Elephas maximus indicus: one gene and its partners. The protein of the gene in region 4 purifies or fractionates together with the protein of the main gene of each other region. This does not show direct contact. Links are inferred from orthologs where the notes say so. Each region holds a gene or a part of one and is shown on either strand. Other genes may lie near its edges.

Region 1 (7,691 bases), on a different chromosome or scaffold from region 4:
TTTACATTAGCCATATCAAAACACACCTAACCAGAAAAATATTACATAACAACTGCAAAGGGAAAAAGTCACTATCATTGGTAATCCATCTTACTGAACACCTCCAAACAAGACAGGTGTGAGTAGTTCTTAAAATGTGTGTATACTGCATCCCAAATATTCATTCGTGGTGTATGTATTTCAAATAGCATATGCTTCACGAAAAAAAGTGTCACTTCCAAGAAACACTAGAATCAAAAGAGAAGACAGTCATCTCAAATGGTTGCGCTTACTCACCATGTAACTAGAATGATTTTTCATTTCTGTTATGCATACAAATCTTTGATCGGCTTACATTTCCTTTAGGAATCAAGCCAGCTAATACTTAGAAACCACAAGTTTATTTCTTAAAACCGGAAGATGAGTTATTTATAGACGACTCTAGATGTACTATAAGGATTTAAGGCAAAATTAGTTACCTCTACTATTCAACCAACAAAATGGGAACATGCACATGAACTCTGAGGTGAATTTTTCCACGGTATTTGTAGAATGGGTCTTAAACACTAAATTTGAAATCTTAGCATCACCTCAACTTTATAATCTTGCAAGGAAGAAAAAGGGCTACTAGAGGGCAAGTTTACCAGCACCCAAAATGGCATTGTCCCAAGCCTCAACACCTCCCACAACAGCCACCATTTTGAGCAGCAGGATATAATTAACCTAGCCACAATCTTATACCAACTAAAAGAAAACGCAGGACGTGAGAAGAATTGTTAAACATCTCCTGACTTTTAACATTCCCAAATCTTTAATTTCTGTGGCCGTTTCTTCAGTTGGTTAAGTCAATACAAATATTTGTCTAAGGTATTTTCCAATAAGTCCCACAAACACTTTTATTAAAAATCATGCTTGTTACATTCGCTTTCAAACTTTGAAAACAAATGCTGTGGTGCTATGTAAAATATCCAAGTTCTTAAGCACTCCTTAAAAAAACAGATGGGGGAAGCCTATGATTTAATCACATTGTTTTAATCAGCTTAAGGTACTAAGAATCGCTAAAAGCCATTGAGTGGCCCTAGTTTATCAGTCTACATTCCTCTTCATTCTCTCATCCCACCCCCTTTTGATCTTTTTATTTTTCCGATTTCATTAATTCTGCAACAAGAGCAAGTACCCACACTTCATTCACAGTAAGATGCAAATGATATTTCAGCAAACACGACTAAATCTAGAAATAAAGATTAAGGCCAAAATCTTGGGAGTAAAACCAATCAGAAAATGGCAGAAAGTAACCTATGTGGTCGGGATGAAGAGGGAACAACAACGATTTCCTCCTCCACAAGAGTGATTATTATTTTGACGACTCCTTCGGCGAACCCACTGGCAGAATTGAAAAGAAAACCTGACCGACAAATAGTTTCCATTTACCTTTGTCCAAAGGCAAAAAAGGTGATCAAGTCACTGCATATATTGCCATAAGGGAGAAAGCAATTCAACCTGCCAACCAATCAAATATTTCACACCCCCTGCCAAAAATAAAAATATAAAGGAGGATGGAGGCTGGTGGGGCTAGGTGCCTGTTTTAGAGCATTCTGTACCTCATACTCCCGCCACCATCCCTGTTACTATGACCCTCTGATTTTAGTTCAATTATCACAAAGCCTCGGGTTTGAAAGCACCTTCGGCCTGGCCAGAAAAGCCATCCCTTTCCTCCACGCTCGCCCGGATTAATAATGGTGGCGAAATCAGCTCAAAGAGCTCCCCGAATAAAGACGGCAGTATTCCGAGAGCAAAGGGGCTGGAAAAGAATAACGGAGTCCCAAACTTTCCCTCCGCAGCCGCGAAGCCCAGAGCAAGGGCTCGATGCCGGAGCTGCTCCTCCGAAGAGAGCGCGCCCCCCGGCCCAGGCCATCATCTCCGCCAGCCCAAAGTTAACCCAAAGCGCCCCCCGAGAGTTGCGGGTCTCCGGGAGTCTGCAAAGTGCGACTCCCCCCCCCAACGCGCCCACCGAAGTGGGGGCGAGTCTCGCCCCAGCACAACAGATTCCTCCCCCAAGCAACCCCAGCGCCCGCCTCCCCGCCCGCGGTCCGAGTTAATCCACCGCCGGCGCCCCCCACCCCCAGCCCCCTCGACCGCCTGCACCCCGTCCCCGCCCGGAGCAGCTGGCTCGCAGCTTCAATGGCACCGGGAAGGGAGCGCGCGCGCGCACGCACTCTCTCACCACACTCAGCCTCTCCTTCCAGAGAACTCCCGGGAGAGCCGCCCCCCATTCCCACTCCTACAAAAGCAGAGGCTCTCCCTCCTCCTTTCCGCTACTCTCTTCGCCGCCTTCTTCTAGAAGCCGCGGGTGAGCACAGGGACCGCCCGAGAGAAAGTCCCAAACCCGGACGCCCGCACTTGGCGTCCTTTGCAAAGCCCGGAGGAGCTCCCGCCCGCCCTCCTCCCCTCTGCGCCTCGCGCCCCCCACCTCCGACCCCTTCTCCTGGCTCCCGACTACAGGCAAAAGTCTCTCGCTCTCCAGCTCCGTCCTTCAGGATGTTCCGGGACTCCCCGAGTGGGGCAGAGGGAGAAAGGGGCGCACTGTGCGCCGCCTCGCCCGCTCCTCGCCGCACTCACCTCGATCTCAAAGTCGGGCAGGCGGAACGCGGTGCGAAAGAGCGAACAGAAGTGTGCGATGGCCGGGACTTCCCACCAGGAGCGGAGCTCGCCCAGCCCAGCCGCGCCGCCCTCCTCCGGGCACATCTCCCAGGCGCGGCGGTGGCGGCGGCCCCGAGCTCGAAGCGCGCCTCGGCGGCCCCACGCTGTCCGCGTTCGGCTCGCTCAGCTCGGACTCCCGCCGCGGCGCAGCGCCTCAGCTACTCCGGCGGGGGTGGCGGCGGCTGCTACGCCCGCTGCTGCCGCCGCTCGGCGTGTGCATGAGCTGAGGGCGGGCGACCCAGGCGGGGGGCGTCGGCTCGAGGGCCCGAGTTACTGAGGCGGCTGCTGCTCCCGCAGCCTGCGGGGTCCGCGCGCTCGCCCCATTCTGCTTATGCGGCTGAGGCCGCCCCCAGTCCCATACAATATAATCATCTCACCGCTGGGGAAAACAGATGGGGCTGGGAGGGGCGGGGGGGAGGGGGCCGAACAGAGGGCCTGGGGGAGGGGCCGCACACGAGGAGGGGGCGGGGCCGTCCCTCACCACAACAACAACCCCCGCCCCCACTTTCCACCCCCCCCGCCTGGACAGCTGCATTGAACGAGAAGGGGGAGGGGAGGGGGGCTGAGCACCCCAAGAAAGAGAGGGAGTGTGACTTGAAGGGAGCGAGGTGCAGCCCTATGAATTACTACTACATATACTCTGCTTTCCAGGCGGTTAGGACTGAAGAGTTTAGTTACTTTTATGTTGGAAGACAATAAGGGTCTCTCCCACCCCCCACGTGGCCTTAGTGGTCGCGTCCTTTTAAAGGGCCAGCTGGGTGGTGCTTTCGGTAGGGGCTAGATCCAGAAACGTGCACGTGTGGGAGTTCAGTTATTATTGATACTGACGGTAGTACAGGGGAACGAGTGGGACGTCCACCCCAGAAATATGAGGCCTAGAGAAATTAAGTGGTTTCCACCTGTTCTTTAACGCTTTTATTCCCTTCAAGAACAGTGCTTCAAGGAGATCTAAAGTGGCTCTTTCTCCAAAGGAGAAAGGTGGTGGGGCTGGTTAAGCTGGAACTAAGTAGGATGGAGGCTGCAGAGCAGCGGGAAGGGTGGGGTAGGGGGGAGGCACCAATCAGCAGCCATGCGGGAAGAGGGATCCCCCCCCCCCCCAGGGAATGGACACGTGTGACCGCCCTAGAGAAGACGGGTTATGAGCACTGCAACTGCCCTCGCGGTGGAAAAGCTGCCTGGAAGAGTGCGCACAATGTGGCTAGAAAGCTTGGGGGATGGGGAAAGTGCGAACGAGAGTCTGGGGAGTTTGTTCTGGTGGGGGTGGAGACGCACGCCTAGGCTAAGGGAATGTGATCTAGGAGAAGGGTGTTGAGGCGTGGGCTTTAGAAATGTTAAATACTATGGCTTGTTAGAATTGTGTTAAACCCGAAAGGAAAAAAAATCACCTCCAAAACAAACTAGAAGTTTTGAAAAACTACGTTGAATGCCCAGCTATTTTCAGGCACGTTGGTCTTTGCAATTATTTAGAACTATATTCTACTCAAGCCTCAAAGGGCCTTAGCTCGTTCCTGTAGTCTTCCTCTCAGGAAGCACTGCCCCTGACACTTCCCAAAATTAATCATATATGTATTGAGTGATGTATGTACGGTGATAAAATCAAAGACCCTCTTCTACCTCTGAGCAGTATACAGTCTGGAGGGAATGGCAAACATGATGAACGAATTTATTAGATGATTTTGGAGTGGGCTGTCTGGATAATTCTCCCCTACCCCTCCCCTACTTTGTTCTGATCATGTTAATAACCTGTTGTGGTTTTTATAAGCCAGCATTCAAAAACAAATTCCTAAAATGTATACTTACGTGTGTCTTCAGGGAATCAGCTAATCTCTAAATACTTCATCTTCTAGCATTGCTCTCTCTCTGCGGAATAGAAACAGCCGAGGAGTTGTGCTTTTTCATCCTCAAATTCTACCATGTTTTAATTTTTGACAAAAGTGAGCACACATATAAATGTTCCCAAAAAGCAAAGACAACATTTTTATGTGTTTTTAAAGCTCAGCTACGGTATAGATATCCCATTAATAGATGAGATGTGAAAAGGGCGACAAGCCACTGTGGGATTAATCATATAACCTAAATTAGATGTTTTCTGACTTTTTTCTCCTGTCTCTCTTCATTTCCTCATCCATCAATTTCACTTTCCACACTTTTTCCTCTCCTTATTTTAAAAATGCTGTTTTTCTTCATATTTGTTTCTAATCCATTATACCCTGACTCTTATTTCCCCACCTTTTTCCTGATTCTTCATCTGTCTGCTCACTCTTGCCTTTATCTTTTATCGTTGTTTAACCTCTTTAGCTGTCCTCACAATTGTCCCTACTAGCCAGACTAGTAATAATAGTGCCTAAAATGTTAATACCAGGAAGTAACCGGTGAGAAGAAGATTTGGCTACTCGTTAATTACTCTTGTACATTTGAATGCCAGTTACAAACTTCTTCCCTCCACCTCCTACCCCAAACTGGAGGTTACTCTATTGTCTTCCTCTCCCCGCCCCCCCGCCCCCCGACCCCCGTCACCAAGCCAGGTCTTGTAAATCAACAAGGCTGTCCTAGAACTGGAGGTGCCCCCCTAGTGGTGGTTGGAGATTGGTCTCCTACTCTCTTTCTCAGCACCTTTCTTTCCCTAATGTGTGACCTGACTTCTAGCTGCCATTTTCTTCTGAGAGTCCGCACCCAATGCCCGTACGATCCTGCAGGTCATCTTTACACCTATTTAATTCTATCATTCTCTAACCCTGGTCCACTCTCCGCAATGTTTTGCTTGGCTCCTCCCCATCTATCGCTGTAATCTTACTCCCCTCCATCCCACCCCATTCCTAGCTCAGCCTTCACCCTGAGTCGGAAATCAGTTCTTAGCCCCAGGAGCTAAGGAGCCTAATATATCTTGAGCCTGACCATAAATCTGATCTCTGAATTCCGAGTTTTTGCTCTAGCTAGAGCCTTCAGCATGGATTACACCTCAACATAAGGAAAACAAAAATCCTCACGACTGGACCAATGAGCAACATCATGATAAGTGGAGAAAAGATTGAAGTTGTCAAGGATTTCATTTTACTTGGATCCACAATCAACAGCCACGGAAGCAGCAGTCAAGAAATCAAAAGGCGCGTTGCATTGGGCAAATCTGCTGCAAAGGACCTCTTGAAAGTGTTGAAGAGCAAAGATGTCACCCTGAAGACTAAGGTGCGCCTGACCTAAGCCATCGTATTTTCAATTGCATCATATGCATGTGAAAGCTGGACAATGAATAAGGAAGACCGAAGAAGAGCTGACGCCTTTGAATTGTGGTGTTGACGAAGAATATTGAATATACCATGGACTGCTAAAAGAACGAACAAATCTGTCTTAGAAGCACAACCAGAATGCTCCTTAGAGGCAAGAATGGCGAGACTGTGTCTTACATACTTTGGACATGTTGCTAGGAGGGATCAGTCCCTGGAGAAGGACATCATGCTTGGCAGAGTACAGGGTCGGTGGAAAAGAGGAAGACTCTCAACGAGGTGGATTGACACAGTGGCTGCAACAATGGGCTCAAGCATAACGACGATTGTAAGGATGGCACGGGCCCGGGCAGTGTTTCGTTCTGTTGTGCATAGGGTTGCTATGAGTTGGAACCCACTCGACGGCACCTAACAACAACAACAACAGAACCTTCCATTTAGACCTCCGCTGACTGTCTCCCGTGGACCTCTGTTGGAACTGATACTCTGAATCACTGACCCTGCTTTGACCATTTGTTTATTACAGTCTCAGCTCTATTTTTCTGGACTTATTTCCAGCCTTATCTCCTAGAATCTAGATTAAGGACGTCTGTAACCAGTTAACCAGTGCCATTGAGTCAATTCTGACTCATGGTGACCCCATGTGTGTCACAGTAGAATTGTGCTCCATAGAGTTTTCAGTGGCTGATTTTTCAATATAGATTGCCAGGACTTTCTTCCGAGGCACTTCTGAGCGGACTGGACCCTCTAACCTTTTGATTAGCAGCCAAGCTCATTAACCATTTGCACTACCCGGGGACTCTGAAGAGGGCTATATGCCAGGCTAATTTAAATTCTTAGAAATTGTAGAAATTGAATCAGATTAGTATGCAGGAAATCTTTGTTCTCTCTTAGAAAGGCTCTTAATCACCTTATACCTTCATCTGTGAGAGGAAGGGCTTGGACTAAATGATTCTTGAGTTCTATGGCTTTAATCTTTAAAATACAGCCAGATTAACTTCCATGAAATTTAAATTCAGTCATGTCGATCATCTGCTCAAAATTCAATGACTCTCACTTGCACATGAGAGACAGTCTCAAGTCCTGTGGATTCTTTTTTTTTTAAATTGTACTTTAGATGAAGGTTTACAGAGCAAATTAGTTTCTCGTTGAACAATGTACATATTGTTTTGTGGTATTGGTTGCCAGCCCCACGACATGTCAACACTCTCCCCTTCTCAAACTTGGGTTCCCTGTTACCAGCTTTCCTGTCCCCTCCTGCTTTCTTGTCCTTGCCCCTAGGTCAGCATGTCCGTCTAGACTTGTTTTGTTTTACAGGCCAGTCTAATCTTTGGCTGAAGGGTAAACCTCAGGAGTGACTTCAGTAGTGAGTTAAAAGGGTGTGCAAGGGCCATACTCTAAGGGTCCTGTAGATTCTTATTCAAGACTTGCCACAATTTGGTTTCAACCTGCCTTTCCAGCCATATCTGCTCTCCACACCCTCACCTCTATCCCACCAGTGACTCCTTTCCTCCTGCCGTACTGGCTCACTTACGCAATGCCATCTCCTTGCCTCCTCCCTTTTGATCATTTAGTTGCCTGGAATGACTTATAACTCACCCTCTCTGGTCATAACCCACTCAAAACTCAATTCCTTTTTAAAACCAAAAAAACCAAACCCGTTGCTGTAGAGTCCATCTATCTTGCCCACTGTAGCCAGATTTATCTTCTTCAAACTATGCATCAGTTTTAAGAAGTTGAATTCAATTTAAATAATATATTTTCTTAAACGCAATATATCTAAAATAGTAT
Region 2 (7,716 bases), on a different chromosome or scaffold from region 4:
AATCTCTAAAATGGAGATAAGAGCAGCGCTACCTCATAGGATTTAAGAGCTAATACTTGCAGGCACTTAAAATAATGCCGGCACACATTAGGGGCTCCAGAAATGTTGGGAATTGTTGAGAATCTAGTATGGTATAGGATCCCAGCAGTCAGTCATCAGTGAAGGTTTCTGCCGTGGCTGAAGAACAGCTTCTTTGCCTGTGAACGAGCGGCACCTCCTGGTCACCCAAGGTGATGCAGAACCCCACGTTTATAAAAGCCTGGCTCAGTAATACACCATGAATCGTATGAGGCATAATCACTGGGCCATCCTCTCCAAAAGCACACCATGAACAAGGAGAATGAAACAGAAGTCATCACTTTTAACAACAATGTTCTTTATTTATACAACGCATTATAGTTTTCTCAAGATTCTTCACTCGTCAACAAACTTTTCACTGTATTCATTTGACAAGTTAACAGTATCAAACTACATTTCACTGTCAAACTCTAAGCATTCAACTTAGAGACAAAAAGTGCTTGGAGCACTGAAGAGAAAGAGAAAAAGGCTAAGAAAGGCCAACAGAAATACTTTGGAAGCAGTTAAGGGGATGGATGGTTTGGGGGAATTATATTCCTGAGCACCATCAGATTTTGCTTAACGTTTAGAGAAGTTTTACAGAATCATTTTTAAAAGGCATGAGATTATAACTAAGGAATCAGAGGAACCTTCACTTTTATATATTAAGCAGGTTATCAATGTTTCTGAACTGACAGAAGTGAAAAAAGGAAAGAGAAAGGGTGGGAATGGGAAGCAGAGCAGAGGCAGGTAGACAGAACAAGAGAACCACAAATGGAAAAAGTTGTGCATTGAGGTTATAAAGTTTGGAACTCATCATGAATTGAAGAATGAAAAGCTGGTCTCAAGTCTGAGAGATGGACTGTGAGAGAAAGCCTGGGATTTTACACCTTCTAGGGGGGTGAAGATAAATCCTAAAGCTGTACAGTGGCAGGCAGTGAGGTGCATCTAAGACTAAGCCACCTGTTTTGTAAGAATAAGACATTGGCACCCTTGCTTGACTAATTACACTCTACGGTGCTAATTTAAAAGCATGGATGCCCAGAGTGCACCCACCCCAAGAAGTTGAATAGCTATATGCAATACACAAGACTTCTAAGTCTAGGGAGTCTGTCAAGATTCACTGTCAAGTGAAGGAACAACGGGTTTCATTTTTCTCCCACAGCTTTTTAATAGTCTCTAAAACCTAAATTGCGCTTATCACTCTTAATAAGCTAGTACTGACAAATACTGTACAATCAAATATAGGCTGATCATGATCAAAGCCCAAATTTTTCCTGAGTCTCGGCTGACTGTGATCGGGAACACAGCAGGCAGGATAAAAGTTACTACTTTCTTGGGAGGTACAGGGAGGAAGGAAGTGAGAACCAAAAACTGCCTAACCATATATATAACTAAACAAGAGAGATCAAATTGGCTCATTGAATTAGCTGCTCAGTATTCCTCTTGTCAAAAAGTCATAACCTTCAGACTAATTAAGCAAAACAAGATTCTGCTACCCAGATGCGCTGAGTCTAGGAAGTGCTAGTTTTGATAATAATTCTAGCCAGTTTTATTTCCATCTTCTCAGGTACTCCCACCTAAGACTGCTCTGCCCAGCAAGTAAAAGCTTCACATAAACGTGTATCACATATTTCAAAGTGGTACCTTCCAAGGTGCCAGTCTTCCCATCCCATTCAGTTGTCCACCTCCTCCTCCTCATTCTGGTCTTCTTCTTCCAGCCTTTCCTCATCTTCATCGTTGTCCTCATCCCTGCTCTTGTCTTGTTCTTCCGAATCTGTTTTTTTGTCTTTGTCCTTTTTCTTTTGCTCTGAAGCTTCTTTCTTGCCTTTCTGCTCCCGCCTGTATGCTATAAGGAGGAAAGAGGGGGTTAGGAGGCAGGGCTGGATGAGTGAACCAGACTCCAGCAGCTAATTCCATTCCATAGCTGGAAAAGCTGAGGCACGGAAGGAAGAATAACCTGCCCGCATCAAAAACAGATCTGAGGTGGTGCAAACTGAATGGGTGCCGAGTCACACCCAGTACTGGCTTACAGGACTTTAGGGGACCCATGCTGAAAACGCCTCAGGGCCAGGTGAGCAGGTCACACAGGATGACCATCTTCTATGTGGCTGAGAAAACGGAAGGGTCGTTACCTTCCAGAGCCTCTTTCAGCGGAGTGATGAAGCGCTGAAACTCCATCTCTTCCATTGCTGAGAGCACATCGCTAGCATTCAGCGTCTTGCGCTTCCCTTTCATGGCGAAATTGTTGGCACTGAAAGAGGAAAAGCAGAAAGGGCCTTTAGAGGCTGTCAGACCCCCTCTTGATGCCTCTGGAGCGGGCAGGAAAAGCGCACCCTGAGTTGGACTGGAAAAGCCTACCACTTAGATGCATTATTTTTGTGGGTGTCATACAGCTAAGTCCCTCCCTTACCTGTACAAAAGGACTACAGCCAAATTACTTTGTTGTTGTTGTTTCACACCCTGTAACAACTGGGTGAAAGCTGTGAACCTCTCCCCACGGAGCCAGCACACAATCATTCGGGTTTGTGGGCTCCGGGCCAAGACTCCCCAGCTAAGGGTCTCTCGGAGCCTCCCTAATGGTTCAACCCTAGCTGAGCTCTGGTTAACTCTGCCCCGCTCACCAGGACGTGGCATACAGCACGAAGACGCTTGCGGCACGGGAGATGGCGCTCCGGGCCTCCTTGGAGATATTGACGCCGTCCGGGAGCTGTGAGAGAGCGGCGGTGAGCAAAGTTGCCCACCCAGGACCTGTTTCCCTCATGCCCACTCGTCCGGCCCAGCCCACCCGCTAGCCTGGCCTGCTCACCGCCTCCTTGATGATCCTGGTGATGACGGCGTTGGGCAGATTTAGGTCCTCTGGCCTTTCTGCCATTGCCGCTGCCGAGGCCAGCGCCTCCGCCTCAGGCCTCCTCTTCAAGCCACTACGGCGTCCGGACTTCCCGCGTCGATGCGGTCTGACCCACGGAGGCTTCCGTTCCGGTCCACACGGCCCACACTGTCCCACAGTGCCCTGCGCAGCATTATCGCCCCACCCCAGCCCCGCCTCCGGTCGCCGGCGCTTCCAGAGTTTCCACGCATCAGGGGTTTTGGCCCCCTGGGGTTTCCTTCAGGCCCCACAGTGCCCGGAACTCCCCACCCCAGCCCCATTTCTCTTCTTCGTGCTACTAACACGTTCGTCGCGTTCGCTGCAAATTAAGTATGGCTCACTGGGGTTTCCGTCCGTTTCCCTTGGTGCTTCGCGCCGCTGCTGGGCGACGGCTGGGCCTGGAGGTGTGAACAGAGCTGGCTGGGCGGGGCCTGCTGACGGCCGCGCCGCGAGGAGCAACGCCCTCCCGCCTGGCTTTAAACTCTTACTGCTTTGAAGTCTCCTTTGGATCCGCGAATTGTGGCTCCCGGATGCCAGTTTCTCCCACTTCTCTTTTCCGAAACGAAGCGGGGACTCTTTCTCCAGCTCTAGCGGAGCTGATGTTCATCCTTAATTTTTTCGCTGCTGCCAACTTTGTAATGCTTATACTAATAATAGCTCATATCTAGAGTTTATTCATTGCAAGCTACCTTGCTGAGGCAACGCTAATGCTTGCGGGATTGAGATGGGTGTGGCTAGATCTCGGGGCTCAATTCTGGTTGGGCATATAACGAAAGGACCCGGAGCAGTAGGTTGTAAGAATAGCGAAACTCAGTCACATTGAAAACAAACCGTGTTAAAATTGTATTTTTTAATTCATAAAATGGTTCTCCTTACATCTTTCCGAGTCCTTCAGTTTTGTAGTAGTTTTTTAATTTGTATTTTCATATTAAACGCGTAGAAATTGTCCTCACTTCTACTTATTTTTTTCTTGAAACGTGGTCCTCTTAAGCCAGCCTTTCATTTTCCTGCCCTTAATTGAGACGTGGGTACAGAGAAATATTTCCCTATTATGAGAAAAACAGCAGAGCAAATGTGCTAATAAATGGCAACTGAAACTGCTTCGGTTAGAGGCTATAGGGTCAGGTGGGGAACACTTGGATGTAGCAGACCTAGTTTAAAGATGTCAGAAGCTAATCAGCTCCAGTCATTTCCTGTTGTGTTGGAATTAGGCCCAGTATTGTTAGATATTTTGATTTTTTAAGATGGGGCAGAAATCTGGACATCAATTCTTAAAATATTATGTCTAAAGTGCAGGCCAGACAAAACAAGTCACAGACCAGATGGAATCCCAGGGCAGTAGTTTGGTATCTCTGTCCTAAATTATAAGCTCTTTAGAACAGGGACTTTATCTTGTTCATTACTGTTCTCTGTGCCCAGGACAGTTCCCCTCAGGTACCTGGTAGTCAGTAAATACGTGTTGCATAGAAGAAAGAAGAAATAGGCACTGCCCTTACAGAGCTATTAGGGTGGTAGTGATTATCTGCAGCTTCTTTAGAGAAGGCAAGATAACATTTGGTGAGCTCCTATTACGTATTACACATAAATGTACATTATCTCATTTAATACTTTTACAGTCCTCCTTAGGGATTATTTCTCCCTACTTTATATGAGGAAACAGGTTCAGAAAGGTGAAATCACTTGCTCAAGACCGTTCAGCCAGTAAATGAGAATTAATGGCCTCTGATGTAATCACATCAAGGTTATTGGTTTGCTGTTTGACCAAACACATTCATTCCTGGTGGGTATTTTAGCTGCCTGCATGGGAATTGGCACATACTGAAAAATGAAGCATGTCTTTCAAAGAAAAAGTGGTTGCTCTTTGCGTTTTTGAGCTAAGACACTTCCGTAATTTAATTGTAATTTGATAAGGCTTTTTGGAAATGGTGGCATTTCTAATGATTATGAAGGGGAAAAGAAAAAGGATGGTAATGTTTCTTATGAACTATATGTCAGACATGGTGATCTGCTTCTGTAAAGATTACAGCCTAGAAAACCCTATGGGGCAGCTTTACTCTGTCACGTGGGATCACTGTGAGTCTGAATCAACACCACGCACTTAACATATATCAGACCTTTTAATATCTGTTAACTAATTTTTGTAATAACCCTGTGAAATAGGCTTATCCTCATTTTACAAATGAAACAGGTTAAGTCCCAGTTTACTCAGCTATCAAATGGCCAATTGCGAGACATTCTGAAGTCAATCTACTTCTAAACTGTTGACATTCTGCCTCACGCTGAGATGTTTTCATACTTGCTTCTACCAAACCCTTAATTATTCTACAAAAAAATCCGTTGCTGTCGAGTTGGTTCCGACTCATAGTGACCCTACAGGACAGAGTAGAACTCAAGGAGCGGCTCATGAATTCCATCTGCTGACCTTTTGGTTAGCGGCTGAGCTCTTAACCACTGCATCACACCAGGGCTCCAATTATCCTATGACCACCGTTTATCTATATGGGCTCAATAGAAATGTTTTATACTTTGAGTCCAAATAAAGATCTGGACTGCATGGCTAATGTATCCCAGTGCTGTTGAGTCGATTGCGACTCATAGCGACCCTATAGGACAGAGTAGCACTACCCCATAGAGTTTCCAAGGAACGCCTGCGGATGCTAATGTATAATGCACTCTTAATTATGTGGTTGTCGTTTCTCCAGAAGGCTAGAAAGCTGCAGGGTTGGCTTTTGTTCTAAGCCATTTGGCTATGGACTTGCCAGATGCGAACCAGTGGGATGAAACCACTTGTGCCTCTGCTGTTTGTCCGCATCCGCAATGCTGGGCAGCTCTTCGCAGGATTGAGAGGGGCCACCCTCGATTGCTGGGTTCACCCTGCAAAACTCCCCTGGATACTGAAGGTATATTAGCCAGCGCCTGTCTCCTTCCTCACAAGTCTTTAAAGTATTTGTTTGACCTTCTTCTCCAGGTGACATGTTACATAGTTTCTTCTGGTCTGTTTTCTCAGATAAACTCCCAGTGCTCACTATTGTAAATATCTCAGATTCCCTCCGGCCTAAGAGATGTGCTCAGCGTTGTTTATCGGGATTTACCTTTGCTAAGACTCACTCTTTGTTGTCTCGGGGTTCAAAGTTTGACTCCAAATTTCAAGGCAGGTAAATTATCATTGAATCTACTTTTAAGAGCTTACTATCTCAAAATCTGGGTTATGACTTTCCTTACCCATACAGAAGACTTTGAGAATGCTGAGTTAAAAGAAAAAAAACGCTAATTCAGTTAAAGAAGCGGTAAAAACAGAGGGGAAAACCCAAAGAAAGCATTCTTACTGTGTTCTAGGAGTTGGTTAATTTGGGGGTACCTCATCAGTATCTGTAGGTCATCAGGAAACAGTTTCCACACATACTGTCTTACCTTATAACTTTATATATAAAACTGTTTGTAAGCCCCTGAATGCAGAAGGAATGACTTTTTCTTTTGAACCTCCTGTAAAGTCTAGGTACCCAATTAGTGCTTGTTGATATTGAAGCTAAGGGATAGGAATCTGTGGAAAATTTAGACTTTCAAAATCAGAAGACCTCGTTGCCTAGAATCAAAGCACTGGTTGTGGCCCTGGAGCGGTTTATTTTCTCCTGTTCATTTAAGCAGCCTTTGATGATTTCTTTTAGGCTAAAGACAGTATAAGAGAGCCCTGGTGACATAGTGGTTAAGCACTTGGCTGCTAACCAAAAGATCAGTGATTCAAACCCACCAGCTGTTCCTTGGGTTACAGATGTGGCAGTCTGCTCCTGTAAAGATTACAGCCTTGCCCTCTTTGGGGCAATTCTGCTCTGTCCTATAGGGTCGCCATGAGTCGGAATTGACTTGATGGCAATGGATTTTGAAAGACAGTATAGGAAAGGGTAGGGCTACTTTCAGGTTCTCTAGAACTTGAAACCCTGGAAAACAGCTGTGCCTCCCAGTCAGGACCTGTGATGTGCTTCGCATAGATGCACAGGCACACAGTTCCAACCCTGCCATGCCCATGGTGTGCATGAGGGAGCTGCCTCATCCAGTTAGCTCCTGGTTTCTGTGCCTTTGTCCTTCAGCCTCTCCTGCTTTCTGATCTTACCTCTTTATCCTGAACCAGCCCCTCATTACCTCGTTTGTGGGTTTTTGCAGGGTCTTCTGAGCTGGTCTCCCTGCCTCTTCCCCTCTAAATCTTATATGCTACCAACAGATTAAGTTTCCAGAAAATATTGCTCATATCTCTTTGCTCAAAGTCCATGATTAGTGCTTCATGTACTATAGAATAATACAGCCAAATTTCCCTATTGTGGAGCTGGTAGCCTCTTTACTCTCCAGCTCCTCTCTGCTCTGATACCACCTTTAACTCTGAGCCAAACTGGCTTTCCTTTTGTACTTTTCTGTCTCTGACACTTTATTCATGCAATTTCCTCCACCTTAAAAGCTCTCTTCACTCCTCTGTTTCACTAACTCTCTGTGATAGTCTGTAAGGCCCTATAAGGTCCTGCCTTCCTCATGGACCTCATCTTGCATTCCTCCCCTCCGTATTCACCAAGGTCCAGCCGTTACTGCCCTTTCTGTTCCTCACATACTCCACACTTCTATCCCAAGACTTATGTACCTGCTGTTTCCACTGAGTGGAATGCTTTTCCCCCAGATCAGGGTTTCTTCACCTGACACTTGACATTTCGGATCAGATATTTCTTTGTTTTTTGGGGGTGCTGTCCTGTGCATTGCAGGAAGTTTAGCAGCATCCCTGGGCTCTACCCATTGGATGCCAGTAGCAC
Region 3 (7,571 bases), on a different chromosome or scaffold from region 4:
TTAGGGTTTTGGAGCAAAGTCTTACTCTCTTTGGCTAATAACTGTTCTTTTTGAGAACTGCTCTTAACTTTGCTCCTGGGCCCTGGCAAAGACAGAAAGCCTGACCTTTGGGGTACCAGGTGACCGTGTAATCTGTTCTGCTTATCATGAACTGAGTATCTGTTTCATTTAGCCATAAATACCCGGTAGCCTTCCCATCCTGAAGAGTACATGGTATATGGAAGAGCAGGCCTGAGCAGGTCCTGGAGAAACACAGGAGTGCAATTCCCAGTTCACTGAGTGTTTACTCCCACTTCACTGCCACTCCTTCCTCAGTCCACAACCCCAACTCCCCATGACCATATAACTAAGAAGGACAACATTTGAGCTTGGTTTACAGATGGTATCAGCTGGAAATGGACTGCTAAAGTACCATAGCTACAGTTGGAAGTGGTCTTGAAGGACAGTGGCAAAAGGACATCTCCCAGTAGGCAGAGCCTTGAGTTGTATTTATTGTGGTTCTCTTTGCCTTGAGAAAGACTCTACACCAAGTCATGGGCAGTGTCCCTTTGGCCAGCTGGTCAGGGACTAAGAGGATTGGTGACAAGAAGTTTTAGAAAGAAGGTATAGATGAACCTCTCAGAATAAACCTAGAAAGTGATAGATTTTGTGCCCCATATGAATACTTATCAAAATATCCTCACTGCTAAGGAAGCTTTAACAAGTTAGAGGGCAAGAAGACCCAACCTGTGAATGTAGGTCAAACTCCTTCCCTAGTAAAGCCAGTACCTGCTTATAGGGGTTATGCACAAAGTGGCAATGGGGGCTGGCACCAAGGTTATAACGGATTCAACACGTGCTTCCCTTCTGCAAAGCTGAACTGGCTATTGCCATTGCTGAATGCCCATGTTGGAAGGCGTCATTATAATGGACTCTATAATGAAGGGGACAGTGAGTCAACTTAATTGGGGAGAGGGTTATACTGAAGTTGGATTTGCTTTCCCCCACCAGCCATACTTATACCATCATCATCACCCTACAGGGACTTACTGAATACCTTATTTACCATCGTGGTATTTTATACACCATGGTATCAAGCATGAGACTAACTTTAAATGAAAGAAATAAAGAAATGGGCTATCCTCTTGGATGCACTAGCCTTATTTACACTCCCAACCACCTGAAGCAGCTAGCTTTACGGAACAGTAGAATGGTCCGAACAGTAGAATGGCCCACGGAACACTCACTTGGCTACAGAGCCAGCTGCAAGACAATAGCTTGGGAGCCTGGATTCCATTTACATTTGGAACCAGCAATTCTGGAGGTACCCATATCTGTCTCACGGAGTCCTTTTCTGTTTCTTTTAAATGAGCCATAGTTGATTTCTATTGCTTGCAACTAAAAATTCCAAGTGCTGTATCTGATCTAGTATATTTTGATCCATCTGAAGTGCTTTTAAAAAATTGACTTAGTTGCTAATATTTAAAAATCAAGAGTTTCCATGTGTAATCCTCATTTGCACCTTCTCTTGAAAAGGTTGAAGACCTGGCCATTTTAGGCCTGTATTCTTGTAGCTGCTCTTTCTAAACAAAACTTGGGTGCTCAGTTTTCCAAAGGCCTCACCCTGCCCACTTTGTTTACTTTCACTGCTCACCTGGTCATTGAAGGCATATAAGTTTGTGACCCTTGGTGCTCAACCAAATTATGTCTAATAAATTAATTTGGCAGTTAGCACTTGCATTTCTTTAATTTTCATTTCACATATGTTCTATTTTTTCACTTACATTGTAAAATATTTGGTGGCCAGAATAATGTTAACTATTTTTCTTATTTATTTATTTTATTGTGCTTCAGGTGAAAGTTTATATAGCAAATTAGTTTCTCATTCAAAGAGTTCTATACAAATTGTTTCATGACATTGGTTACAATTCCTACAATGTGCCAGCACTCTCTCTCTTTCCCCCTGGGCTCCCCATTTCCATTCATCCAGTTTTCCTGTCTCTTCCTACCTTCTCTTTTTGCTTTTGGGTAAGTGTTGCCCATTTAGTCTCGTATACTTGATCTAAGAAGCATGTTCTTCACTTAGTTTTATAGGGTTGTCTAAAAAAAAAAAATTTTTTTTTTTCTAATCTTTGGCTAAAAGGTGAACTTTGAAAGTGGCTTCAGTTCCCATTTAGAAGGGTGGGGGGCCATAGTCTTGGGGGGTTCCTTCAGTCTTTGTAAATTTGAATTTTGTTTTACATTTTTCTCACACTCTGTCTGGGACCCTCTATTGTGATCTCTGTCAGAGCGATTGGTGGTGGTAGCCAGGCACCATCTAATTCTTCTGGGCTCAGGCTGGTGGAGGCTGTGGTTCATGTGGTCCCTTAGTCCTTTGGATTAATATTTTCCTTGTGTCTTTGGTTTTCTTCATTCGCCTTTGCTCTGAATGGCATGGGACAAATAGATGTATCTTAGATGGCCACTGGTAAGCTTTTAAGATCCCAGATGCTACTCACCAAAGTAGGATGTTGAGCATTTTATGAACTGTGTTATGCCAATTGACCTAGATGTCCCCCAAGAGCATGGTTCCCAGCCCTCAGCTCCAGTAACTCAGTCTCACAAGATATTTGGACATGTCTGGTGGCGTAGTGGTTAAGTGCTATGGCTGCCAACCAAAGGGTCGGCGGTTCGAATCTGCTAGGTGCTCCTTGGAAGCTCTATGGGGCAGTTCTACTGTCCTATAGGGTCGCTATGAGTTGGAATAGACTCAACGGCACTGGGTTTGGTTTTTTGGGTTTGAGGAAGCTTCTATGACTGTGCTCCGTTTGTGCTCTATCATATATATATATATGAATATACACGCTGTACATACAAACGTGTGTAAAAACATCCACAGCCTAACCTACATATGTGCATGGGTTTACTCCTAAACGCCCTCCTTCGTCTATTCAGGATAGGTATCTGCCGATGTACCTGCTTATAAGTTATTATTTGTTTTTACTGTTGTTGCGGGACTGTACATGCTGCAGTATTTTATTTACTGTGGTTGCCTTTTATTTTTTTCCTCGTGCTCCTGTAAGTGTCTTCCTTTGTCTTGGTCAGGTTGTGCTGACCTCCCCTACATAATGTGTTGTCTTTCCCTTCACCAAAGTTAACACGTCTACTATCTTAACTATTTTTCTTTGAACCACTCCTTGGATATTTCATATTTTAATAAATACTCACTTATGTTTATAAAACCTTTCTCTTATCCCTAGAGCGTACCTTGGCCAACCTATTAAGTCACCCCGATTTGGTGTGGGGAGCCTGAAATTGCATCATCACGACTCCCACCCTAGACGAAGCTGAGACCCTACTGACTTGTCAGGTAAATAAATAATTTCTCTAGAAGACAAAAATATTTTGAAGCAGGTTTTAGGAGGGAAGTCACCCTTTATGCTGCAAATGAGAAACAGGAAAGTTCTTGCTGCCATTATCAAGTTCCTAGATGGGACACTAGGAAAAGTGTAAAAAGAAAAAAACTAAAACAAAAAAACCCAAACCCTTGCTGTCTGGTGGACTCTGACTCATAGCAACACTAGAGGACAGGGCAGAACTGCCCAACAAGGTTTACCGAGGCCCCCTTGGAGGGGCTGCTGTGTTCGAACCACCAACCCTTACAGTAAGCGTTAACAGCCAAGCACTTAACCACCAAGCCACCAGAGCTCCTTAGAAGAGGTGTCGCAAACTAGAGTGTGGTTGCCTCCTGGAGTTTATCGGAGGCAAGAAGCTTCCAAGCGACTTTCCTTCAGGGTCTGGGAGCCCAGGGCGTGGTTTCTGGCACGGCCCCGGAGCAGTTGTCATTGGGATCAATTTCAGGACTCCAGAAAAAAGCGCTTGGAGTTTCACGTTTCTGGGGGCTCGTCTACGGGGCCCCAGTTAATTTCACCCCGTCGGTAGCACTACCCGGTCCCCCCCGTCACTCGGGCCTCCCCCTCCGTGACACTGTCGCAGCATCATTTCCCCAAGGGGGCGGCATGCAGTATGAAATTTGGGGCTCCCTTGCCCTCCTCTCCGAACCCGGGAGGGGAGACGCGGGAATTTCGGGCTCCGCTGGGGACTCCGCAGAGGCTTTCGTCTCCCGACGCCTTGCGCGGGATTCATTTCTTCAGCGGAGCGCACCTCTCGCTCGCGCTGCGAGAGCCCGCAGGTCCACCCCGCCGCGCCAAGGCGCCCGGGCTCCTCGCACCCGACTGGGCGCTCCCGCGCTCCCCCTAGCGGCCGCCGTGCGGCCTCGCTCCGTCCCAGGCTCGTCGGCGGCGCAGCTCACGTGACCGCGCTCTGGGCCTGCGGCCGCTGTCGGTTCCCCCAGTCACCGAGCGAGAGGGAAGAAACAAGATGGCGGCTGAAGGCGATCCGGAGTGGGGCCCCAGCAATTCGGATTGAGCCTTCTCCCTCCACCCGCTTCCGCCGGCCCGGCCCCTCCCGCCCGGCCCCGCGGGCCTCCCCACCCGGCCCCGGCGCCCCTCACCGCCGCCCCTCCGCCCGCCCCTCCCCCCTCCGCTTTCCCTTCTCCCCCCGCCTCGGCTCCGACATGAGGGGCCGGCGGGGCAGGCCGCCCAAGCAGCCCGCGGCTCCCGCTGCGGAGCGTTGCGCCCCGGCCCCGCCGCCGCCGCCGCCGCCGCCGCCCACGTCCGGACCCATCGGGGGGCTCCGATCGCGGCACCGCGGCAGCAGCCGGGGCAGGTGGGCCGCCGCCCAGGCTGAGGTGGCGCCCAAGACGCGGCTGAGCTCACCCAGGGGGGGCAGCAGTAGCCGGAGGAAGCCGCCGCCGCCGCCGCCGCCGGCCCCCCCCAGCACCAGCGCCCCGGGCCGGGGGGGGCGAGGAGGCGGGGGCGGCAGGACGGGGGGCGGGGGCGGCGGCGGCCACCTGGCCCGGGCCACCCCGGCCCGGAGGGCCGTCAACAAAGTGGTGTACGATGACCACGAGAGCGAGGAGGAGGAGGAGGACATGGTCTCCGAGGAAGAGGAGGAGGAGGACGGCGACGCCGAGGAGACCCAGGATTCCGAGGACGACGAGGAAGATGAGATGGAGGAGGACGACGATGACTCCGATTATCCGGAGGAGATGGAAGACGACGACGACGACGCTAGTTATTGCACGGAAAGCAGCTTCAGGAGCCATAGCACCTATAGCAGCACTCCAGGTACCCACCCAGCCCAGTTGCTGCAGACGCCTTCCCCACCTCCTTACCCTCCCCCCTTGCTCACTCCCTCTTGGGTGCTGTGCATCCTGCTCCGGCCTCCCCCCACCCCCACCGCCCCCCCAAACCGAGGGGAAATGCGAAGGCACATCAAGTGGCAAAAAACTAGATTTACAAGAGGAAAGAGGCGCATTGTTCAAAATGGAGATTGCATTGTTGCACTTTGCAGGCCACACTCGCTCGCTCTCTCTCCCCTTAGCCCCCCTTTTTTTCTCTTCAAAATTTATGCCAGTGCAATGTCTCCACCGGGCAGGATTGAAACTTTGGCACACACACATCCATTGCATTCATTTTTCTCCCCTTGTTTTGGTTTGGTTTTTTGGAATGAAAGAAACCACTTGTTTTTGCAAACCTCTTTGCGTTTCTAATGTGGTTCTTTTAGATTTTTATGGTCTATCTGCTCCTTAAAAGGGGGTTTAGGGTTTAGATAGATTGTGGCAGACACATAAATACACACAAACAAACAAAACTTTCTTCCCTTCACTCCCCTAGCTATGTGGTTTAAAAACTGTGTTAAGGAAATAGATCAGTTGGGTTAGTAGAGGAAGCCTTACTTATCTGGCCCTGTGTGTTTGTTTTTATTTCTTGGGTGTTAATGGGCTCGTGCAACAGTGGCTGGTAAATGGCTGATTGAAAAGCAAAGCAGAAAACCAAACCCAAAGCAAATTCGGTAATTCATCCGATTCAAAATCATTTGGGTAAAATCCAAAATAAAAGTAAAAAACCGCAGGAGCATGCCGTCTTACTAATTTGATGGCGATTGCTTTGCTTGGGAAAGACAGTTTCATGTCACCTGTTGCAGAAGACGCGTAGTTGATCACCCAGACATAATTGCTGAAGATGACCACTTGGACCAACTTCTAAGTCACACAGCAGAGATACTGGGGGGAGGAGGGCTATTAGAAAACAACTTTTGCTTTTCACTCTGTTTCTGAGGCTGAAAGTCCATCCAGGATCAGTAATGGACTTCTTCGTGGTGACTCCTCTCCTGTTTTCTCTCAGGACGTTTCTCTAGGTTGGTGCTGAAATGCCTTTTGTTAAAAAAAGAAACAAAAAAATACAACACAATTGCTGCTTTGTATTAAATACGTAGTTGCAGCTTACTAAATTCTGGAAAAAAAACAAACAAATATGTAGCAAAAACCTGCCAGACATTGTATTTTGGTTTGTCTGGGTTAACTAAATTAGAATCTGGTTTTAAGAGCATTTACAAAGTAGTTTATGAGGAAATACGGGGATCTTGGAAAATTAAGGTGTGTTACTAGTGTTTAAGAGAGACTAGGGTAGAAAAAGTAGTTAAATTGAAATGTTTCCATTTTTTGCAAATGCTTCAGTACCTATTGGAGAAGTATGAAACCGGATATAAACCTGTTTTGGTTGTCTTAACGTGAAATGGGAAAGGTAGTGGCTTTTGCCTGACAATGAGAGCGTGTCTGTCTTTGTTGAGGGTGGAGACAGGCAGGGGAGAGTGAAGGTAATGAATTAAGTGTTAAGTATTTGTCTTTTGTATGTGAAAGGGACTGCACAAAAGTTTTGTTCCTTGCCAGCGTAATTTTAGTACATCTTTTTATAGTAATAAGTTTTTTTACTTTAAGAAATCACACATGTTCACTTTCTACCAAGAGCCTAGAATTGAATGAACCATAGAAACTGAATTTCACTGTTGGAGGAAGTTCTTCCAGGTTAGAGAGGAGCTAAGGCATTTTTTGGTATGGCAGTTTAGCTAACTTTAACTCCTGTTTGAAGGCCTAACAAATAATACTTTGGATTGTTGGCTGTGCATGGGCTGAATTACATGACAATTCGTGGTCTGGTTTCCTTAAAAAAAAAAAAAAAAAACTTGTGTATTTATGACGTATCTGTGACATTTTTTTTCCTAATGACGTTTGTAGTCTACCTTGTGTATACTTGTCCTATCCCTTTATAAAATTATTAACTCCTTAATGAGAGATCTTGATCTCATCTCCCTTGCGCCTCCTAGTCATGCCCATAGCAGGTGCTCATCAAAGGCGGTCTGGATAAGCCATAGTTAGTAGGCGAGAACTTGAAATAGATGAAGTTTTGATAATTCCCTAGTGGGTGCTATAACTCGTAAATGTTTTGGTTTTAGTAAACTAAAAATTGGTCTAATTAGATTTTAACAGTTTGACTAGCAAATTTTTAAATAGCAGAGTTACTGTGTTTTGAAATGCTGTTTAGTGTTGCTTGCCAGGCATTTTCCTTTCTTCAGGGGATACGGTGTTAACTTCTTGGTTGTTTTGCCTTTTGAAACTCATTATTTCTCAGTATTATGGTAAATGGAGGAGAGAGTTTGTGTTCTGGACTTTCAGAATATGCCCACTTGCCTAGAATGAGTAACAATGCATG
Region 4 (7,535 bases):
ATCACTATTAGTGGAAAATGTGTGCATTTTCCTTCTCTGACAGGTATCTGCCTTACACAGATTCCGGCTTTCACAGGTTTCACCGTATAATTCTAGCAAATTTGATAATCTGGCTTCCCACACCACAGAGAATAAAGTAAGGAGCAGATGACACGGGAAAGACTTCTAGTAGCACACTGTTAACAGCAAGAAGAACACAGGACTAATACCTGTGTTCCACTACAACAGCATTCCTTATCCTTGGTGTTCAGGTATCATTATTTCCCTTTCTCTGCTTCATCATTTGTATTTTTGCATTTTACAGAGATTTCAAATCATTTTGTTACATTTATGTCCTTCCCTTCTGATGAAAGCAGATGAGGTGTTTAAAAAGTGGTAGCTGACAGCTTGACTCTTGAGGAAGGACACCGAAAAGGTATTTAAATAATTAACACAATACTGGAAGGGCCTGGGAAGTGGGTATTTACTTTAGGGGAAACCATCTCCTGGACCTCAACTGCCTTTGTGTCAGTGTTAGATATGATAATTGATGGTCAGGAGGAAAAGGATAACTTGTACTTTTAACACACCATTTGAGGAGGCAAGGGCATTTGCAATATACTTAGATTTTCAAGGGAAAAATTAAAAAAAAAAAAGATGTAGTGACTAAAGTAGTAAACTTCAGTTATCCAGAAAGTTCCCACCATGCATTCCCATTTCCCCATGCTGAGTGGACAAATACAATTTCCGATGAGGCTACAGAGTTTATGAATCTATATATCTCATATGTATCAGGTCTGTTTTTTATGTGGTAGGGTTTTTTTAATTGATTCCCAGTCTTTTCAGAAATCGAAAAATTTATACAGCCTGGAAAATTCGACCACCTTGACCGCCACATGAAAAAAAGCTTTGCACTTTACATTTGCCCAATCTGGTGAATAGAAGGCACCTTTAGAATAAACACATTTTTTAATCTCCCAACATTTATACTGAAGCTTGGTACTTGGCCCAGCTTTTTTATCTTACTGATCCGAGTACTGTCTACATCTAAATATCTGTATGTTTTCCACGGTTTTCACTCAGCACAATTGTCTGTTTAGTCAACCCTGTAACAGTAAAATGTCACTTAAGCAAGTCCTGAATTTAAAATTGACTCTTTTAATTCAAGACAAAAGGTGTTAATTTCCCTCAAAAGCTTTTCATTTGGTCGTATGCTATCATGTAATGATTCAGACAAAGCCACTTGAGATCGCTAAAGCATAATTTTAATTACCCACCATTTTTTAAATTGTGATATGTCTACTAATAGAGAAAATCCACCCGCAAACGATCTGTTCTGCAACGTTATTAGATATCAAAAATCCATATGCCACATCCAATTTTTTTTAAACCTCAATTTTTCAGCGCGTTTCATAATTTCATTTGCACGTCTTGGTTCCACATGAAATATGCGTTATGGAAATAATACATATTTTCTGGGGTTGGCTTTAATAGGTGTCAAGTCCCTTATGTACATTAGCAGCAGCTCACCCTGGCGACGCTTGATTAAAAAAAAAAAATCAAGAAAAGAAAAAACCTGCTTGTGTCCAGGAGCCAGCAGCGCCCACTAGGAGAGGGAGGCGGAAGCCTGGGAGGCGTGGGGCCGGATTGGGGGACCATTTGGGTGGCCCTGGAGTGAAACACTATACCGTCGGGGGCGGGGCGGGAGGGAGTGGGGGTGCATACGTTGGAAATTTTCCTAAGCCAAGGTCCACGGTTCCTCAGCTTGCGGCTGGGGGGCACGCCGCGGATAGCTCGCTTTCTCGGGGTGACACCCCCCACTTCAGCAGGCAGGGACAGAAAGAACAAGGAATGATTTTCTTCTGCCATCCAAAAGGCCGACATTGCCAAGCAAAGAAAGAAATGTCTTCCCTCTCATCCTGCGCCCCCCAACCACCAGCACCTTGAAACGCAAAGAAAAAACCAGCCGCAGCGAAGCCCCTGCGGCGCGAGGGTGGGATTGAAGGGCCCAGATTTCCCAAGCGGAGGCCGCCGGGAAGGGAGGGCGCGCGGAGAGGGAAAGGGAGCGGCGGCGGCGGCGGCGGCGGCGGCGGCGGCGGGTTCCTGCACCGCCCCACCTCCCCGCCGTCCCCCAGTTCCGGGAATGGGGAGGGGGCCGGGGCTGTCGCGGGGCTCCGCAGCCCCCGGCCCGGCTCCCGCGCCCTCCGGCCCGCGCCGCGCCCCGCCCCCGCCGGCTGGCGGCGACAGGAAGGGGGAGGGGAGGCCGGCTGGCCGCGCCACCGCCCCCCGCCCGCGCCCGCCGCCCCCAGCCCTGCGGCGCTGCCTCCGGAGGTACCTGTCGGCGCCGAAAGGTCAGGGTTGGGGCCCTCGGCGGGGTCAGGCCCGCGTTTGTCCGCCCCCCACACACACCCCCTTCCTCTCTACCTCGTTCTTCTCGCCCTTCTCCGTGGCCGCGGTGGCTTCGGTGCCCGCGGCGGCCGCTCCCTCCTGCTTCGAGGTGGACGGCCCCGGCTGCTCGTCCTCTAGGACCACGATTGTGGCGGTCGCATCAGCGGCTGCCACGGTGGCTGCCACTGCGGCGGTGTCCGGCTCCATGGCGTTGGAGCAGGGACGAGGAAGGGGACGAGGGCTCCGGGGCGGCGACAGTGGCTGCTCTGGAAAGAGCTAGATGGAGCCGGGGTGAGGAATCACTCCGCTTCCAACCCCTTCGCTCGGCCCCCCCTTCTTTAAATAACCCTCAACCCTGCCCCACTTCCGTCCACCCACCCTACGTCATGGCCTCCCCCCGTCGCCCTCCCCCCTGCCTCCACCCCCCCTCAACGATCGCGAGACTCCCCCTCCCCACCCAGAGCCCGGGCGGGCCCCGCGCGACCAACTGTTGCCTGGGTGTGGGGCGCGGACAGGGGTGGAAGCGGGAACCCACGGCCACGGCCCCCTACAAATCTTCTTCCCCACACGCCCCCAACAGTCAGCCGAGCTCCCCTCGCAGAAGTGTGCAGAAGGAATCCTCTTTGCCTGAAATCTGCTCTTTGTACCTCAGGGCGCTCTCCCCTCCTTGCACAAAGAACTTTTCCTCGGCTTCTAACTGTTCTGTAGCAGGTCATTCTTACCGTTTTCAAAACCCGGAACGCCTCTGGGGACTGACCTTTCCCAGGTCTCTAAGCGGGAATTGGTGGAGCTATACCTACCATCCTAAATTCTTCAAAAGGAGAAGCACTCCTTGCATCTCCTGATTGCAGCTGCAAACACTCACAAGGCAAAGCCTGGCTCTTGGGTTTTATGCATGTTTGCTCTTTTTTCCAACTCTGATACCTGTCAGAAGGCCCATCTGCAGAACCTTTCTTTTGCCTTAGCCACTGAATTTTAAAACTCCTGGGGGGCAAGGTCAAGGGTCCCAGAGAATCTGAGGTAGCATATGGTGGGTACCAAGTACGTGTGATTGGATTGAATCGCTGTGATTTTTTTAGTGCTCTTCCTATTCACACTCCCTTTGTTGTTATTTGGTAGTAATTGAGCACTGATGATATACATGATTATGGGTATGAAAGCACTTTGTAAAGGGTGCAACACTATGCAAAGGAACTATTAAATATTATTGTTACTATTTCTCCTCAACATTTATTTTGATCCATAATGAGAAGATTTACATCCAAGCTTTCAAATTTCAGTCATTAGGGACACAAGATAACAAAACATACAAAAAACAGCATAGCAAACAACAACCACAAAGTCTACAATTTCCAAAATGAAGCAAATACTTCCCAAAGTGAAAAAAAACAAATCATGGTTAATTTCCCTTGATGTTGTTAGGTGCCGTCGGGTCAGCTCTGACTCATAGCGACCCTATGGGACAGAATAGAACTGCGCCATAGGGTTTCCAAGGAGCATCTGGTGGATTCAAACTGCTGACCTTTTGGTCAGCCACCATAGCTCTTAACCACTGTGCCACCAGGGCTCAAATTCCCTTGATAGACCCTCCATACCCTCTTAATGGGTATGGGTTTATACCCTCCTAAATTACCAATCTTAAATGAGGTGTGTGTGATATCTGGAAACAGCAGGAAAGCGTTCCCTCCCCCCCCCCAAAAAAAACCCTTTTCCCTGGGGATTATATTCTAAATTCCTTTCTGCTTTAAAAATGTGAATCCTTAATGCAAAAACCATGTGACCTTTTCAGCTATTATTGAATCATTTACACCTTAGTGCAAATGAGTGTATGATCCTATCTGGGAACTGACTTTGAGTGAGAAAAAAAAAAGAGGCTAAGAGCAGGACACTGGTGACTGAAGGGGTGTGCTGCTGAAAGCAGGGGCTGATAGTGCTGGTTACTTTTATTATGTTCCTCTCACTTAGATTCCCACTGCCCCCGGCCCCCATGTTTCTTAGCCTGGAGTGCACATGTGTACTATCCAAGGGGAAATAGGGAGCCTCAGTAAAAAATGGCTCATGTTTCTGGAGCATCAACTTTACTCAAAAAATGGCACAAAATTAAGCCTCTTAACTGATCATTTTAAACACAGTTTTTTTCTATTAAAATGCGCAGATGTATTAAGGAGTGGACTGCAGAATTTGGAGTGTCTCCAAAGAAAAGCTTGAAACTTCCAGTTAGACATTCTCACCCTTTCCCACTCCCTGTTCAATCTTTAAAGGCCCTTTGGTGGGAAAGTTCAAAAAGGACCATAAGACACAATGCTGTAATTCATGCACCCACCTAACTTAAGAAGAGCCCTTCCAGATAATGGCAGTGGAGGATTTCTTTGTCACCAAGCTGTGAGTATGGGGGAAACCCTGGTGGTGTAGTGGTTAAGTGCTATGGCTGCTAACCAAAGGTCGGCAGTTCGAATCTGCCAGGCGCTCCTTGGAATCTCTATAGGGCAGTTTTACTCTGTCCTATAGGGTTTTTTATAGGGTTGCTATGAGTTGAAATCAACTCGATGGCAGCGGGTTTCGTTTTGGTATGGTGGGTATGGGAAGATAGGATCCCATTTCTTCTCCTGGGGCTTCAAAGGAGAAAGGCTCAAGAAATATTGGTTAAATGTAACCAATGTCACTGAACAAATTGTGCAGAAATTGTTAAATGGGAACTGAATAAACTTTCACCAAAAACTCAATAAAATATTATTTAAAAAAAAATAAATATTGTGTATTGATGTGCTCCTGCTTGCAAGGAAACTTTATTCCACTGTATTTCTCATGGCAAAATGTACAGCATACTCGTTATATTGTGGGTTCAGTGCACTTTTGTGAGGAAATCTGAGAAACTCATCCCTTTATAACACCTTTTCTGTGGAAACGTGTTCCAAGTTCCAAAAAAAAAAAAGAACTTAGAAATTAATTTGGGGGACAGAACATATGTGTACATTGAAGATTTTTCATGTATGTATAATATGATCCTCCATTTTCTAGAAGACACCACTGAAAATGCTCCCAAGTATATGAATTTGGCCGTAAAGATCGATGCTTGGTCAATAGTCCTTGCCACAGGATTCATGTAAACACTGCCCTTTGACTTGTGGCAGCAGCTGCTATTTACAGAGCATGTGCTACCCCTATTTGCAAATCTGTCTAAAATTCGTGATCTATAGACTTTGTTCAACAAGAGTTACCTCTCTTCTGATCTTATTCAGCACCTTGCTCTGTTACTGCTTTCTCCTGTTATGTGTCTTCATTCAAAATGGTCTTTAATTGCTCCACTCTCTTGGGGTTGGAGAACAAAGCAACATTTTTATAAAGAACTATGAGACCATATTTGGGAACCTCAAAGTGAATGCTAGTCTACTGGACAATGTGTCCATGTTGGCAGATTGTGAATGTTGTAGAGGTTGTCCAGTAGTCATTTTCACATAGCCCAACTTGTTTTGCTACCAGAATGCAGGTCCACTGGTGGTATTAAATGTTTTTGTAAAGTTCATAAAGGCAAGGTCAAGGGCTTGATGTTCCTTCTCTTATCCTGTGTCTGAAATTTATCATCAAAACCACAGTATGACTTAAAACCACATTGTTATCCCACTGGTGACTGTTCTTTAGAAGCTAGTACGAAAGATTCTGGCTGGTCACACTGTCTTGCTTAAAACTCTAGTAACCATGCTGTTCATATCAGTAAACTTTCTCACCATTCTTCTTGAAGACACTTATGATGATGGCCTCTTTGAAAATGTGATATTTCTTTGCTGCCGTGTATGCTAAAGAAAAGGAAATAGTAACAGCTTTTTTTTTTTTAGTATATTGGGGTTTTTTTTGTGTTTTAGTATACTTCTATTGTTTCTCGAGCACCCGCTGTTGTATCAGGACTGTGCTAGGTTCTTTCCATATGATGTGTAATAAAAAAAAAAAAGTTTTTTTTTAATTGCCATGATAATTCCATGAAACAAATATTATTATCCCTATTTTCCAGATGAGAAAACTGAGAGTCAGAGAGGCTAAATAACTCATCTGAGGTTCCACAGCTAGTAAGTGACCAAAGCCAGATTCAAATCCTGGACTGTCTGGCTCCACACCTCATCTTTCCACTTCACCTTTATTAAGTTCTCTATTCTTCACAGGGCTTTCTCCTGGACAGTAGAAATCATATTGAGAAAATGGTGGAAAAATATGTCTGCCACCTGTTGCTAGCTTTATGAGGAAACATTGTCACTCTTACAGCTCTGGTAGTATGTACTTATCCAGATAACTTCTTTAGCTCTACATAAATGTGTAAGGTGTAAGGTGGAAATTGGAGAATAATTTGGGATTCTTGCATGTACCTAAAATATATTCTCAGAACAGTAATGGGACTTGGGACAATTAAGATACCAAAACCCATTTGCTGTCAAGTCAATTCCGATTCATAGAGACGCTATAGGACAGAGTAGAACTGCCCCCATGGAGTTTCCAAGGTTGTAACCTTTACAGAACTCTATGGGGACAGTTCTACTCTGTCCTATAAGGTCGCTATGAGTCAGAATCGACTCCACGGCAACAGGTTTGGGTTTTTTTGGGCGGGGGGAGTTAGTCTTTATGGGAGCAGACCGCCACATTTTTCTCCCCGCGGAGCAACTGGTAGGTTCAAACTGCTGACCTTCTGGTTAGCAGCTGAGAGCTTAACCACTGTGCCACCAGGGCTCCTTAATTAAAGGAGGGGGAAAACCTAATGGAAATAACTTAGATATCCAAGAGAGGATTTGCAAAACATTGTATAGTATATTCACAAATGGAATACTATGTGGCCATTAAGAATGATTACCTAAATATGTATCTGTTGACATGGAAAATATGTTCCTCATATATTAAGTGAAAAAAGGGCAGACAACAAAATAGAGTGATCCCATTAAAAAAATAAATAATCCATTTACATAAATATATTTCCATAAAACAAAAAGCCTGGAAGGTTCTACTCCAAATGTTAGCAGTAGTTATAGCAAGGTGGTGGAATTCTGAATGATTTTTTTCTTACATTTGCTTCTCTATTCTAATTTTTCTCAGTGAAGGTATATTACTTTTATAATAAATAACTAATGTTTTAAAAGGTGAGTCAAAAAACATCGCTTGAAACTGGACAGATTGAAATAATCCTGGCA

What was found.
Region 1: the proteins of SMARCA1 (region 4) and cat eye syndrome critical region protein 2 purify together in Homo sapiens (affinity purification with mass spectrometry; 3 studies listed by BioGRID and IntAct, with this or other methods). This does not show direct contact. The link is inferred for Elephas maximus indicus from reciprocal best matches to the Homo sapiens genes SMARCA1 and CECR2.
Region 2: the proteins of SMARCA1 (region 4) and POLE3 purify together in Homo sapiens (affinity purification with mass spectrometry; 3 studies listed by BioGRID and IntAct, with this or other methods). This does not show direct contact. The link is inferred for Elephas maximus indicus from reciprocal best matches to the Homo sapiens genes SMARCA1 and POLE3.
Region 3: the proteins of SMARCA1 (region 4) and BPTF purify together in Homo sapiens (affinity purification with mass spectrometry; 4 studies listed by BioGRID and IntAct, with this or other methods). This does not show direct contact. The link is inferred for Elephas maximus indicus from reciprocal best matches to the Homo sapiens genes SMARCA1 and BPTF.

Annotation. Positions count from the first base shown.
Region 1 is NC_064822.1:55,490,742-55,498,432, forward strand, and holds the start of cat eye syndrome critical region protein 2, read right to left. Parts: upstream 3,064-7,691; 5' UTR 2,725-3,063; coding exon 2,599-2,724; intron 2,394-2,598; exon of another isoform or gene 2,253-2,393; coding exon of another isoform or gene 2,204-2,252; intron 1-2,203. UniProt on the Homo sapiens protein: Regulatory subunit of the ATP-dependent CERF-1 and CERF-5 ISWI chromatin remodeling complexes, which form ordered nucleosome arrays on chromatin and facilitate access to DNA during DNA-templated processes such as DNA replication, transcription, and repair.
Region 2 is NC_064827.1:62,659,243-62,666,958, forward strand, and holds POLE3 (DNA polymerase epsilon subunit 3), read right to left. Parts: upstream 3,064-7,716; 5' UTR 2,933-3,063; coding exon 2,867-2,932; intron 2,768-2,866; coding exon 2,682-2,767; intron 2,312-2,681; coding exon 2,193-2,311; intron 1,907-2,192; coding exon 1,734-1,906; 3' UTR 362-1,733; downstream 1-361. Other genes in the region: C9H9orf43 (uncharacterized protein C9orf43 homolog), read left to right, coding at 5,676-5,826, 5,934-6,077. UniProt on the Homo sapiens protein: Accessory component of the DNA polymerase epsilon complex. Participates in DNA repair and in chromosomal DNA replication.
Region 3 is NC_064837.1:56,115,787-56,123,357, reverse strand, and holds the start of BPTF (nucleosome-remodeling factor subunit BPTF), read left to right. Parts: upstream 1-4,498; 5' UTR 4,499-4,534; coding exon 4,535-5,147; intron 5,148-7,571. UniProt on the Homo sapiens protein: Regulatory subunit of the ATP-dependent NURF-1 and NURF-5 ISWI chromatin remodeling complexes, which form ordered nucleosome arrays on chromatin and facilitate access to DNA during DNA-templated processes such as DNA replication, transcription, and repair.
Region 4 is NC_064846.1:26,951,812-26,959,346, reverse strand, and holds the start of SMARCA1 (probable global transcription activator SNF2L1), read right to left. Parts: upstream 3,073-7,535; 5' UTR 3,015-3,072; intron 2,644-3,014; 5' UTR 2,575-2,643; coding exon 2,404-2,574; intron 1-2,403.